Linked DNA regions of Tamandua tetradactyla. Each later gene encodes a partner of the first gene's protein in a complex. Links are inferred from orthologs where the notes say so. Each region holds a gene or a part of one and is shown on either strand. Other genes may lie near its edges.

The links. The genes of interacting proteins can lie anywhere in the genome.
Region 2: CWC27 (region 1) and RBM48 share a complex: the UniProt entries of both Homo sapiens proteins name them as parts of the minor spliceosome. The link is inferred for Tamandua tetradactyla from reciprocal best matches to the Homo sapiens genes CWC27 and RBM48.

The regions. Positions count from the first base shown.
Region 1 is NC_135335.1:112,329,047-112,336,812, forward strand, and holds the start of CWC27 (spliceosome-associated protein CWC27 homolog), read left to right. Parts: upstream 1-4,749; 5' UTR 4,750-5,189; coding exon 5,190-5,231; intron 5,232-7,766. Other genes in the region: protein SREK1IP1, read right to left, coding at 4,583-4,595. UniProt on the Homo sapiens protein: As part of the spliceosome, plays a role in pre-mRNA splicing. Probable inactive PPIase with no peptidyl-prolyl cis-trans isomerase activity. As a component of the minor spliceosome, involved in the splicing of U12-type introns in pre-mRNAs.
Region 2 is NC_135327.1:123,744,625-123,751,970, forward strand, and holds the start of RBM48 (RNA-binding protein 48), read right to left. Parts: upstream 2,897-7,346; 5' UTR 2,525-2,896; coding exon 2,414-2,524; intron 1,292-2,413; coding exon 1,101-1,291; intron 1-1,100. Other genes in the region: peroxisomal ATPase PEX1, read left to right, coding at 2,897-3,025. UniProt on the Homo sapiens protein: As a component of the minor spliceosome, involved in the splicing of U12-type introns in pre-mRNAs.

The DNA.
Region 1 (7,766 bases):
GAAAGGGTCAGTTATATGATTTAGGAAAATTATTTCAATAGGAATAAGCAGATGGACTATAAGAGAAAAGAAATGACCTATAATACAGTTTAAAGGAGTGAAAAGAAATTAGATTAGTGTAATTCAGAATTTTTATATTACTAAGATGTTATCGTCATGTGTTGTAAGAATTTGATTGACTTTGACATGCTAAACTAAAATGTTAATTTGGCTATAGAACATTCACTTTCTTACTCCACAGATTTCACTGGAGAGAAAAAAATTGTCTTTATGTGCAAATCACATCAGTAGAACATTGCCAATTGTGCCAGGTCTTTTTGTGGTATAGGCTCTTTGTGGAAAATGGCAAATCATTGACATGAATGCCATAAATAATTTCAACAACTGCTGTAAGTGGAAACAGCAGAATTTAACGTTTTCCCCTTTCCCTAATTCAGAACATAAAAATTCCAGCATTGCTTTAAAACAGGGGCTGCAAACTGAAATGCCTTCAGGAGTCTGGTAGATAGCTATGACGGCAACTTAGTTCAACGTACACTACCTAAGTGCCTGGCCTGCTCTTAACACCTCATATGCACTAATTCACTTAATTCTAATAATAAATCTTAAAGTCAGGGACTGTTATCTCCATTTTACATATGGTGAAATTCAGGCACAGATAGGTTATATAACCTCCCCAAGATTACCATATATAAATGGTGGTGCAGGCAGATTGGTTCCAGCGCTCATGATTTAACTACTATATACAAATTCACTACCAAGGTAACACAAATGAGTGAGGAAGGTCAAAGACGAGTTCGTGCTGTGGCAAACTGAACAATGGCAAGTCCAGCCAAAAGGGGCCTGTCATCTCTCATCAGTTACTGCAGTGTCAGAATGTGGGTATAGTATTGTCAGAATCTTTACTTTTTCAAAGGTGAGCAAAAGTCTAGATTTGTGTGTGAAATCCTGCCCTCCGACCTCCACCACATACTTTAAAAATATTTCTTGCCAGTGTTTCTGAAATCCGTTGAACCAAATCTAAGATATCTAAAAAGTTCAACCCTGGCCAGAGGCTTCAAGGCTTACTTCAACATGGCTTGTTTATCTACATATAAATTGAGTAAGCTTATATATAATGCTATGGAAAAATAGGCTGAATCAGGTGAGCATAAAACCAAGGACACCGATTTTGATGTGTGGTTTGTGAAAAGTAGCCTCATTATTTGACAGTCAGTGCTTGTAATAATCACTAGCCGGAGCATCCTGAGAAATACCATGCTAAATCTATACCAGCATTATAACTAAAAATAAAATAATATATGTTCTCAATGATCACTTCAGAAGGTTTCTGATAGACCCCTATTTTCCTTTAATACACTATATGGATCGATCATGCAAGAAATTATCTTAATTTTTTCTATACCTGTATTTTCAAATGGCACTTCCATTGTACTTTTACAATGCTGTCACGCGCATTATCTCAATTTTTGCTGGGTTTAAACAGTTTATGTCTTGCCATCTAGCTTAATGGCACAATTTAAGATTATTACACTTGGAAGCATTATTTTAAATTGAGAAGAAGGTTAACAGGTCTATAACCTTGGTCTAAGTGTAAGGGATTTCAATAAGGGTGTTGAAAAAAAATCACTTTTGTCCCCTGTCTTAACCAGTGCATTTTCATTACTAGACTTAATTTTTATGAGGCCACATACTGTAACATTGTGTCTTTCTGAGTGCCAATAGCATGTAGTTCAGTTCATGAAATCAATGGTGACATCAGGCCAACTTTAGATACAACTGTGGCCACAGACTGTAACATTGTATCTTTCTGAGTGCCAACAGCATGCAGCTCAACTAGTGAAATCAGTGGTGACATCAGCCAACTTTAGATATAACTGTGTCAATCTTTAACAACTGTCTTCCCATGGATCAACAGGGCTGATGTGGCTTATGAAGATGTCTGAGCAATCAGCTGTGCAGCCTTTCTTTCTCTCCTGGTCTCTTAAATAGTGATCTTCCCCAGGCTTCAGTCACAGGCTTACCTTTCACACTCTACACATTTCTCCTGAGCAGACTTCTACTCTCATGGCCTTAACACCTATTTAATACAGACATTTGGGTGGCACTGAATGACACCAAAATCATTGCCTCTTACCTCAGCTTCTTTGCTAACCTAAAATTTATATCACTAAATGACTGCTGGATACTCCCATTATCAACACGCCCCAAACTGAAGTTATAATCCTCCCCCTTAAAACCTGCTCCTTCTCCAATGTTGCCTACATCAGTAAATGGCCCTGCCCAAATGTCTAACAGTGATTTCTAGATAAATCACACTTCCTAGTGACGCTGCCTCCAAAAACGTATCTCCAATCTGTCTGCTTCTCTCCACTCCTATTGACACCATACTTCAGTGAGGAGTCATTGCAATTCACCAGAATTATTCCTAACTGGTGAATGCCTCAAACTATCTCCCCTCTATTGTGCAGCCAAAATGATCCCTTCAAATCATGAATCTGTTTAAAAACACATAAATGATCTCCAAACACCCTTAGGATAAAGTCTAAACTCCTTGTCATGGCTTACAAATTTGTTCAAGAGCTGGAAGTCACCTTTTAAGTTAATATAGCATGGCAAATGGATAAGAGCATGGGGTCTAAAGAAGCCAATCTGATCTAGCTCCATCCAGCTGTCTCACAACAGGCAAATCACTTGACTTCTTTGTCCCTCAATTTCATCCTCTGTAAAAACGGGATAACAGTATGTATCTCATAGTGCGGTTGTGAATGTTAAATGAGAAAAAATAACAAACCACTTGACACAGTGTCTGGAACACTATCTGACACATAGTAAATGGTCAGCAAATAATAGCTATTGTTATTATCTTTCTAGCTCATTTCTCACTTCTCTCCCATTTGTCCTTAGAGTTCCATCCATAGCGCCCAGTGAACCTCTTTCATCCTTCTTCTCACTGGTCCATTACATAAAGTCCCTTTGATTGCATGTTTCCCTCCATCCCCCTCTTCAGCAACTCTCTGGACTCCTCTGGGAAAGTCATCTGTGCAACTCCTAGATGCTCCCTAAGGTTCTGTACTTGTCTTACTTTCTAGTACTATTTTTTCTCTCCCTGTTAAACTGTAGGTTTTGTGTAAAAGGGTCCATGTCTTTCTTGCTTACCACTGAAATGGTTTTGTACCCCAGGAAACCCATGTTCTTCTTTCTAATTCAATCTTGTGGGGGCAGACCTATTGTTTGGGTGGGATCTTTTTGATTAAGTTGTTTCCAAGGAGATGCATCTCTGCCCACTCAAGGTAGGTCTTACTGGGCTTACTGGGGTCCTTTTAAGAGGGAGCCATTTTGGGAAAAGCTTAGAGCCGACACAGACAGAGACATCTGGAGATGCAGGAAGAAAACGCCCCAGGGAAGCAGTTTGAAAACAGAAGCCAAAGGACCAGCAGACACCAAGCATATGCTTTCCCAGCTGACAGAGGTCTTCCAGGCCTATCTTGAGTCAGGGTATCTTTCTTTGGATGCCTTAGTTTGTAAATTTTTAATGGCCTTAGACCTCTAAACTTGTAACTCAATAAATCCCCTTTATAAAAACCAATCCATTTTTGGTGTATTGCATTCTGGCAGTATTAGCAAACTAAAACACCGTTTTATCCCCAATGCCCACCACAGTGCCTGACACCTGACAGGCAGTAAAGCTGTCAGTGTATGAATGTGTGCATTTTTCCTCTCTCACAGCTCAGTATGTGTTCCTCTCAAAGCCGCAAGCCAGCAGAAAAGCACAGCTGTACCGTAACAGCTGTCCGCAGAACACACTTCAGGACAAGGCTGCCACAGGACAAACGCTTCTGAACCACAGCACTTCTCAGAATCCTATGCTCAAGTGCATTGTTAACCTCCAAGCGGGGGGCAGAGGGCGTGTATTTCTGCATACATCTCCTGCACTGAACGCTGTGGCACAGGCCAGTCTCAGGAGATGCTCACCCCCGCTGGACGTCTAAGGCAGACAGCAGCTGTGGGCGGGGAAGGCTCCGAAGCACTCGGACTGCAGGGTTCACGGGTGGCAATGAGCACCCTTTACACACAGAACCTGACACGGGGAAGAAACCGACAGGATTCACCCAAGCGCCTCCTCTGACCCAACGAGGCCCAGAAGAGCAAAGGGAACGGTCTGCGGCCACAGGCAAGCGGAAGCGCTGGAGGGGGAGCCCCGGGCGCCCGCAGGGCCCGACCCCACGCCCGCCACCACGCCCGGGACCCGCGGGGTCGCCACGCGCGCCCATTCGAATGGCATCTCTAAGCCACCCCGAAGCGACGGCCGAGGCCTGCCACCCCTTCGGGCCTCCACGGGCTGCCCTTCCTCCTCCTTTCCCCCCCAGCGTTTCTGCGGGGAAGACGCCTGTCCGCGGCGGGGAGACGGCTTCCGCCCGCTCTCAGCGTGGGGCTGGGAGCCGGCACTTGCTGCCCCCGAGCCCCGCAACCCAGCGGCGGCGCGGCGCCTCCGCCCGAAGGCGCCCGGCATCGTCCTCTCCCATCCCAACCGCCCCCTCCCCGCTCCCGCTCCCGTCCGAGCCCGGCAGGCCGTCCTCACCTGGGATTGCCATGGTGCTGGCAACAGGGGGTCAAGGGTGCGCGCGTCCCGCCGGCGCGGGGACAACGCCCGGCCGAAGCGGCCTCGCCCTCGCCGCAGCGCCGCCGAAGCTCCGCGAGAGGCCCGGAAGGGCCGCTAAGCCCCTGGCGACGGCGGAACCAAGGCGTCGCCGCTGTGGTTTCCGGGCGAGTCACGGTGCAGCGAACATTTGGCCTGAACCATTACAGCCAACTCCTGAGGGGTGCGTGTGTGTGACCGACACAGGTGTGTGGCGAAAGTGAACACCACGAAGACTCAAGATGGTTCTTTAACTTTTTAAATACGAATAACTTTACGCTATAGACGCTGAAGACTCTTTTCTCCTTCCCTGGAGGATATCGGAATCCCCCTTATCGGGGTTAGCGGTGTTCGGGTCCGGGAGCAACATGGCGGCATGCGTGAGCGGCTAGGTTGGCGGGCCCAGGGCGCGGCGTCGCTGTCTTTCAGGGCCTCGGCTTACTGGAGCTCTCCGCGACCGCCTCCTCCAGGGAGCGTGAACTCCTCCGCGGTAGCGTTCGTTGACCGGAGTTTTGCGGACTTCGAAGTAGAGCCCTGAGCACCGACAAGGATGAGCAACATCTACATCCAGGAGCCTCCCACGAACGGGAAGGTGAGCGCCTCACCTGGGGCCTCTGGGCTCCCGGAAGCGAGCCCTCTCCCACTAGGAGGGCTCTGAGGTGTTCGGGATGGAAGAGGCCACAGGGAGTGTCGTCGTCCCCCTGTCTCGGGACGAGGCGTCGAAAGCCGTACTGAACACTCATAGCATGGATTGGAAAACCAAGAGCTTGGGTGGAGAGTTCCTCCATTGCCCTCGCCGCGGGGCCTTCTGCCCCCGACCCAACTCGTGCAGGCGTTTACGAGGGTCTTAGGGTTTTAGAAGCAAAATATGAAATTTAACATATTATTTTCTTGGCTTGGAGAGCTCTCCTTTTCGCATCCGTTCTGCAATCATTTGTTGAGTTCTTGCTGTGCACGGGTGCTGTGCTAGGCGCTGGGGATGCAGAGATGGGTAGGCCTAGTTACTGCCCTGGAAGAGCGCATAGTTAAGTTTACAAGACAAGCCCTAAAGAAAAAGCTTCCATATACGTCTAGTAGGCATCCTTGTGGAAACAGAATCATTGTTCTATGGCAGTACTGAGGAGTGAGCCGCTGGAAAAGTTAGGAAAAGCTTCTTGGAGCTGAAATTAAAACACGAGATAATTGCCAGTCAGAGAAAGTGGAGAATGGGGAGTGTTCCCATATTTGAATGGGAGGTTAGGGTCCTGATCGATTTGGTGGTCAAGGTACGTCAATTCCCATCCACGGTGTTTGTATGCAGTATGAGGCAGAGAAGTTAACGATGGGATTAGTGTCATTTGCATTCTTGAACTGAGACCTAGTCTATATCATATGTGAAATATTATGAAGAAAATAGTGGGACTTAAAGTATGTGGTTTGATTAGGGTAAACGAAATTTGCCTACAGTACAGTTCTGTTGCATGACTGTATCATAAATTACTTATGCAATCTTCTATTGATGGTCATTTGGTAATATAATGAGAGCAATTTGTAAACGTACAAAAAGTTTCTGTAATGAAATATCCTTGGCAAATATTTTAAGGGGAATTATGGGCAGAATTAATTCTTTGTTGTTTGACCTTCTCCTGGGCACTCCAGATTAGCATTCTCCCTTTCCCCCATGTCATTGTCAAAACCCCAAATAACTATCCCCTCGTTTTTCCAAATGTTTCTTGGGGATGATATTACCCCCAGGTGATAAAACCTGGCAGAAGATTGAATAAATTACCCATCTTGCCAGGCAGAGGCTTCACACTTGCTCTTCTCCTTGGTTTGTTCTTCTGCCTGCTCAAATGTCATCCTAAAAAAGAGGCCTTTCCTATTTGCCCTCCGTGATGGTTGGTTCATGTGTCAGCTTGGCCAGAGGGTGGTGTCCGGCTATTTGGTTAAGCAAGCACCATCCTGATGGTTCCTGTGAGGCCGTTTTGTGGACGTAAATCATCAGTAAATTGATTGCATCTATGGCTGATGACATCTACAGTCAACTGAGGAGATGGCCTTCACACTGAGAGATATATCATCCAATCAGTTCAAGACTTTAAAAGATGACGTGATGACTTCAGCAGTCAGAAGAATTTCTATCTCCACTTCAGCCAGCCGAGTAGAATTCCAAGGTTCCCCCAGAGAATTCATCAAAAACCTTCCCCAGATTTCCTGGCTTGTGACCTGCCCTTTGGAATTTGGACTTATGCATCCCCACAGTTGTATAAGACAATTTTTATAAAAATCTCATAGTATATATCTCAACAGATACGTCCTTTTGGTTCTGTTTCCCTACAGAACCCTGACAAAGACACCTTCTATGACATAGCATATAGTAGTCATGCCCTGCATCCCTGCATTCCCTGGCCCCCTGAACCTATTTTTCTGTAGTACTTATTTTCTTGTTTATCGTGCATCCCCTTCCCTCAGAGAATGCAAGTTCTCTGAGAGCAGAGATTTTGCTTTGTTCACTGTACTTAGAACAGTGCTTGATGCATAGTAGGAGTTCAAATATGTATTGCATAAATGAATGAATGTTATTTCTCTTAGCTTCTGAGAAGTATTAAGCGTCGGTGGGTTTAAGTAGACTGTGACTGGTTAAGTGCAGGCTGACTTGCTTTTTTGAGGAAGACTTAGCATGGTCATATAGATGAAAAGCTTAACAAGGTTACATGCCTAAATAGAAAACCATTTATTCATCAACAAATATTTTTTGAGCACCGAACACATACCAGGCTCTATGCAAGGTTTTAGGGATACAACAGAAAGAAAAAACAGCATTGTCCCTGTCATCATGGAGTTACCTTGGTGACATATGTGTTGACCAAATAATCATGCAAATAAACACGTAATTGCATACTGTGGTGAATAATGTTAATCTTTTGGACAGTAGTGGACTGAGGGAGAACCTCAGGCAGGGCCCAAGTTTTGTCCAAAAACAATTTGGGAACTTTAACAACATAAGGATTATTGAAGAGATTGAAGCCCTGAAGTTCTATACTGTAGGAAGTGTGGCAACTAAAGTGTACTGTAGAGAGTGTGGCAAGAATTTTGGTCTTGCAGGAATTTAAAGCACCTGTAATGACAAGTCTGCTCAGTAAATGTT
Region 2 (7,346 bases), on another chromosome or scaffold:
AAAAAACATTAATAATTAAAATATTATCATTGTAAAACTTGCAATAATTTAAGAAATACTGAATATAAAGCAACCAATCAATGAGAAAACAAGGAGGATGGTATTCATTCAAGAAATATTTATTGAACATCTATATCTGACCAGGCTCTACTACAATAAATAAATACTTCTTCTGTGCCTATGTATAATAAGAAATATTATATTTATCATATGCCATGTCCTAATTGCTTTACATGAATTAACACTTCACACGACCTCATAATGAAACTGAGGCACAGGGAGATTATATAACTTGGCCAAGGTCACACAACTAGTTTTGGTGGAGCTAGAATTCAAATGCAAAAGCTTTAGAAAATATGTTTCCATAACCACTGGGAACTGGAAAGCTGACTGGGGAAGTGAGATTACATATAAGAGCAACACATGACTCCATAAAATCACATGCTTTTGTGCAGACAATGAGTGCTACTGGTAACACAGACAAGAAAATATGAATTGTAATAACCAGACAAAGATGGCTTTTGGAGCAGATTAGTGGCAAAATTAGGAATTAACAAAAAATGGATGAGGCATTTTATACTTTAATCTTATTGAAATGAGGGTTTATATAATATGGCAGGCTGCATAAATGGTGAAAATTCATTTAGGACTATAAAAATAAGAACCTCAAGAGCTAATGTTTATTGCATTCTGAATGGAAAATACTATGTGAAACCCTTACATGGACTACCTCATTTCAATCCTCATACAACCTCAAAAGGAGGTCCTTTTACCAGATGGGTCTTACAGAAGGAGAAAAAAACAACTTTTAAAAGGTTAAATAATTTGCCCAAGGTTATGAAGCTAGAAAGCAGTGGAAATGGAAAACTTACCCCAAACCCAATTTTTCATCTACTACACCTAACAGATAGTTGTTAATTTAAGCATAGGAGTGACATGATGGGAACAGTGTTTTGGTAAGGCTCATCTTTAAAAATGCTGGAGGAAAATAAGAGCCATACAGGGCTATGTTAGATTACTGGGTAATTCAGGAATGCCTGGGACCAGTTTGATAGCAATGGGGATGGAGGAAATGAAACACTATTTAACTTGCATATTACCTTGCACTTTGTAAATTCAGATATTTAATAAGATAAACTTCTGTAAATTCTTCTGCTGGGTATTCATCTAGAGCATTATATTGCTCAATCGCACCATATAAAGCAAATCGTTCAACTAATTCATTCATTGCTCCCACTGCAGGAACTCCTTGTATTATTAAGTACCGAGATTCCAAGTTGATTGTATATACCTAAAAGAAATGCAGTCATTAAATGAATTTCACAAATAAGCCTAGGGTAAATTTACCCTTATTTGTAAGAATAGGCTTTGAAAATAAAACTGTTCAACCCAATTTGCAGACAATACACAAAATTTTAAAAGTTGCCACTCTTTCTGCATAAAGAATAACTAGTTCCACATGGGAAGGCCTCTAATTAAAATATATACCAGACCACCTTCAGTAGACTTTTTCCAGACACTGAATCGTTAAAACGGATCATGTTATTGGGAACATTCACTCAACAAATATTTACTGAGTACTTACTTACCTTGTGCAAAGCAGTTATAAGAATGTAAAATACAAAGAATAAAGCAAAGCCCTTGTGCCAATTTGAAAATATTATGTACCCCAGAAAAGCCATCTTTTAATCCTGATCTAATTTTGTGGGAGCAGGTGTTTCTTTTCATCCCTATTCAGCACTGTAGGTTAGAAACATGATGAGATTATTTCCACGGGGATGTGACACGCCGGATTGTGGGCGTGACCTTTGCGTACATGGAGATGTGACTCCACCCATTCCAGGAGGGTCCTGATAAGATTACTAGAGTTTTTAAAAGGGGGAAACACTTCGGTGAAACGACAGGGCCAACAAAACTTCAGAGTAGAGCTGGCACAGAAACCAAAGTTTGGAAAACAGAGACTCGGATGTCTGGAGAAGCATGGGGCACAGCAGATATGGCCATGAGAGTCAAGCAAAACAGAACCTGGTGAGACTCAAGAGAAGCCAAGAGATGAAAGTCAGCCCTGGAAAAGCAAAGTGAGCAATCCGGATAGGAACAGAGAATAAAAGCAACCGGGCCCAGGAGCTAGGGACCAGCAAATGCCAGCTACGTGACTTCTCAGCCGACAAAGGCGTTCCTGTGAGCCGTGCCATTTCTGGTATATCACTTCCCGCAGCTTGCAAACTAACACAGCCCTGCTCTCACAGACCTGATGCTCGGGAAAATCTGTGGGGCCTGCCTGCCCCTCGGTTCTAACGCCCATATCCTATGAGAGATGAATATGACAATAGCCTTGTCCTTACTTAAAAATCTGGAGTGAATGCTCACTTAAAGCTACCGAGTTTGGCTAATGGAACCCATATCACTTTACCTTGACAGCGCGAGGCCGTCTACCGTCCCGATACTTTGCCCGCGAGTCGCACACCGCTCTCTGCACGTGGTGGTCGAACGAGCCCCCTAGTTCCCCACTACTCAACGCCATCTTGACAGCTTTGGCCCTGGGAGAGAGGACAACATCCGCTTTGCTGCGCTACTGTTTATCCAATGAGAGAGCAGAGGGCTCACGGCGCGCAGAGATTGGCTGGAGAATCGACAGCGTCGGCCATCGTTTCCTGTGAGCTGTGGTTCTGTGAACGAGGTACCGCCCCCAGCGGCGCGGAGGAGAGGCCGGGAAAGTGAGTGAAGGCTTTCTTGCCTCCCCTAAAGGACTCCGGGTCAGACTCGCCGGGAGAAAGGGGGCGGGGCCGCGGGGGCGGGCCGATCGATCTTCTCTGGGTCCGACGCCCTCAGCCTGCCCTGGTCCCAGTCGGCCGCGGCGCAAGGGTGGGTTACTCGGCTTCTGCGCTAGCTCGCGATGTGGGGCAGCTATCGCTTGGCAGGCGCTGGTGGAGGCGGAGCGGCCGTGAAGGTGATCTTCACCAACGCCCGCGACTGTTTCCTCCACCTGCCTCGGTGCCTCGTGGCTCAACTGCACCTCCTGCAGGTAACGCGCCGACCCGGGCAGGAACTTCCTGCCCGGATGCCGGACGGCCGCCTGAGGCCGGACGTGGCCGAGATGTTAGGGATGCGGCGGCAGCTCAGGCCTCTCTCCCCGCGGCTGGTCACTAGCTTACTTCCCGGCGCCGCCGGACCGTACGGAGGCCAAACTGGGGGCCCCTTTAGGGCAGGCCGGCCTGAACAGTCCTTGCATCCCATATCACGTCTAGAGCAGCCCGGGCCGTTAAATTTACGTACCTTATTCCAGGACTTCTCACTTTGGTGAAACTAGGCTTTTAAAAATGCCAAAATTCTACTTTTGCATTCAGAAATAGCCCTCACTTACAGTTTGGACAATCTCCTGAGAAGTCGCTTATTATTTTTAGATGTGTTTTTCCTGTAACCTATTTCCAGGTGCCTGCACCGTTGCCGTCCGGGCCTCAAGAGCAAAGGGCAGACTTGGATGTTAACAGGGACTGAACAGCGCCCACGAGCGGGAGAGGTTAATAAAATGATAGCTCTCTCGGCGCCGCTGGCCTACAGAGCACATATAAGGTGTGCCAGCAACCTACAGTGAATTATGCATATTTCGAAATACATACTTAATACCTTTGCTGTCGGTCGCTTCTTTGGCCTTTGTGCCAGTTGTGTTTCACAGCTTTAAGCACAGGCAGATATACAGCATCCCTATTTTCATAATAAAAATAAAGGCACACGATCTCACAAACATGAGTATACTTACGGGGACAAAAAAATAGAACATTTAAAATCCTCAAACCCAGCTGGATGGATGGTTTCCACAGTGGCTAAGCCATGCAAGAAGTTTTGAAGATTTTGCGGTAATTTCCACTATGTTTTCCAGTTTAGTTCTCTGTAACTGTTCTCCTAGATTGCTTTTTTCCACCTTTCAAAACATATTAAATTCAGAAGAATCCTTCTATTAGTTCTTTTACCATAAAGTAGATAGTCTTTTGGCTCTGATAGGCTTCCTTCAGGGCTGAAGTCATCCTGCCCCAGATAGACCTGTCCAGTACACTTCGTTTAGCTTTGATGAAGAATCTCAGGAAGGCCTGTACAATACTCTCAGCTCTGATGAAGATTTTCAACTGACTTTCAAATCCCTACCTAATGAATTTATAAGAATGCTTCTTTACAGTAATTCTATTAAATTGATCCTAAGATGTGGGTGATACCTTAATCACTATTTAAGAATGTAATAGTCTTGATCTTTGTTTTAAATTGTAAGTCTTCAGAACAGTAAATATCAAGTAAGTAGTCAAAAATTATTTCATGGGTATCTTTTTTTAACATTTTTTATTGTGAAATATAACAAATAGACAAAAAAGCAATAGATGTCAAAGTATAGTTTAACAAACAGTTGTAGAACGAATTTCATAGTATGGTATGGGTTACAGTTCCACAATCTCAGGTATTTCCTTCTAGCTGCTTTAGGACAATGGAGATTAAAAAAGATATAACAATATAATGATTCAGTAGTCATATTCATTTGTTAAATCCTGTCTTCTCTGTTACAACTTCTTTGATCTTTCTCCCAGTCTTTAGGGATATTTGGACAAGGACCGTTTTAACTTCTTCATCTTGAAAAGAGGTGTGTCAGCATTATGGGGCAGGGGGATACAACTGGTTTCTGCTCTTAGACTAGTAACTCTGGGCTTCTGTGCTTATCTGGCCTAGTAATCATCTGGAGGTTTTAGGTTTCTGAAAAACAAACTTAGTGAGGGAAATTTTTATTGCGTCTCAAAGCTAGAGGTACTCTTTGGGGTTTACAGGAATGCTGTTGCTTGGGGTTTAGTACAGTATAGCAATTAGCAGTCTCTCTCTGAAGCTTGCAAAACAGTAACCTTCAGAATAGCCTCTCAACTCTATTTGAAATCTCTTAGCCACTGATACCTTATTTTGTTATATTTCTTTCCTCCCTCTTTGGTCAGGTAGGCACTGTTGATCCCACGGTGCCAGGACCAGGCTCATCCTTGGAGTCATATCCCACATTACCAGCGAGACTCACACCACTGGATGTCATGTCCCACAAAGAAGGGAGGGTAATGATTTTCCTTGCAGAGTTAGGCTTACGGAGAGAGGCCATATCTGAGCAACAAAAGAGGTTCTCTGGAAGCAACCCTTAGGCATAATTATAGGTAGACATAGCTTCTCCGCTACAGACATAAGCTTCACAAGAGCAAGCCTCAAGATCGAGGACTTGGTCTATTGATTTGGGTGTCCCTAATGTTTGACACAGTATCTGGGGTTTACTTGGTGGTAAAGTTTAGTAGTTCTGTATTTTTTCTCCCATCCCTCAAGGAACTTTGCCAATACTTTTAAATTTGTTTTGAAATCTCTCAGCCACTGAACTTTATTTTGTCTCATTTCTCTCTTCCCCCTTCTGTTCAAGAATTGCCAATATGTTTTTGTTTTTTTTTAAACTTTTTTATAGTATAATACAACATATATACAAAGCAAAGAAAGAAAAACCCAATAATTTTCAAAGCACTTTTCAATAAGTAGTTACAGGACAGATCCTGGAGTTTGGCATGGGCTGCTATATCATCGTCTCAGGTTTTTCCTTCTAGCTTCTCCAGGACATTGGAGACTAGAAGGAAATAATTTTTATCACAATCAACTTTTTTGTGTGTGTGAAAAATAACATATATACAAAAAAGCAATAAATTTCAAAGCATAGCGCCACAATTAGTTGTAGAACAGATTTTAGAGTTTGGTATGGGTTACAATTCCACAATTTTAGGTTTTTACTTCTAGCTTCTCTAAAATATTAATATAATGATTCACCAGTCATACTTGTTTGTTAAACCCTTCCTTCTCTGTGTAACTCTACCATCACCTTTGATCTTTCTATCCCTTTCTTTAGGGGTATTTGGGCTATGGCCATTCTAACTTTTTCATTTTGGAAGGGGCTATCAATAATACACAATAGGGAGATGGAACTAGCTGATGTTTTGAAGTCCCTCTAGGTTTCAGGACTTATCTGGTCCAGGTACCCATCTGGAGATTGTAGGTTTCTAGAAAGTTACCCTAGTGCTTGGAATCTTTATAGACTCATATATTGCCCTAAGTATTCTTTAGGATTGACTAGAATGGTTTTGGTTGGGGTTTGGCAAGTTATGAGAGGTAGCAATGTCTAACTGAAGCTTCTGAAGAGTGACCTCCTGAGTAGCATCTCAACTCTATTTGAACTTCAGCCACTGATTCCTTATTTGTTATACTTCTTTTCCCCCTTCTGGTCAGGATGGCATTGTTGATCCCACAGTGCCAGAGCTGGACTCATCCCTGGGAATCATCTCCCCATGTCACCAGGGAGCCTTTCACCCCTGGATGTCATGTCCCACGTGGTGGGGGGGGGGCAATGATTTCGCTTGCAGAGTTGGGCTTAGAGAGAGTGAGGCCATCTCTGAGCAACAAAAGAGGTCCTCCAGAAGCAACTCTTAAGCATACTTGTAGGTAGGCTAAGTTTCTCCACTACATACATAAGCTTCAGAAGAGTAAACCTCAAGATCAAGGGTTTGGTGTATTGATTTGGGTGTCCCTAAAGTTTCACACTGTGTCAGGGATTTCCCTGGTGGCAAAGTTTAATAGTTCCATATTTTTCTCTGGTCCCTTAAGGGACTTTGCCAATACTTTTTGATTATCTGCTTAGTATATTCTAGGATGTATCCAGGCATTACATTAAGCTATACAGGATTAAAGGCCCTCATTCTTATTCTGGGCTCCCTGTGTTTGTTTCAGTTGTTTAAATGAGGTATTCAGACAGAGTGAGTTAGATTATGTGCTACAGAAAATTTAGATTCTGGACAAAATAAGCCTTTCTTCCTTTGGTCTCAAAGAGGTGAGGTTCTAAAATATAGACAATGTCTTCCTTACCCCTGTGTTCTGAGTTACCTTAATCCTGACCTGATCAGCTTCATTCTTTTTTTTTAATTTGTAATGGTGGTTTATTTGCCAGAATTTACATTGTCTATACAATTATGAAGAAGTTTTCTGCATTTGGATAAATGAGTCCCACAGATGAAATCACTGTAGGCAGCCTTGTCATATCTATAGTACTTAATCCAAGATCTCTTGGGAATGTTGAAATAGCAAAATACTTCCACATTGGCTTAGAAAGTGCTTAGTGCTTTCTCAAATGTGGCTGATAACTCAGAAGAATCGAGATTACTGTATCAACTGAAAGATAAGCTGTGGTGAGAGAGTTATCAGGTTAATAAACAAGGTACTCAGATACAGGTCTTGAGATGAAAGGTTAAGAGGTAGGGCTTCAGTAGCAACTTTATTTAATTATCACATACCACTCTTAA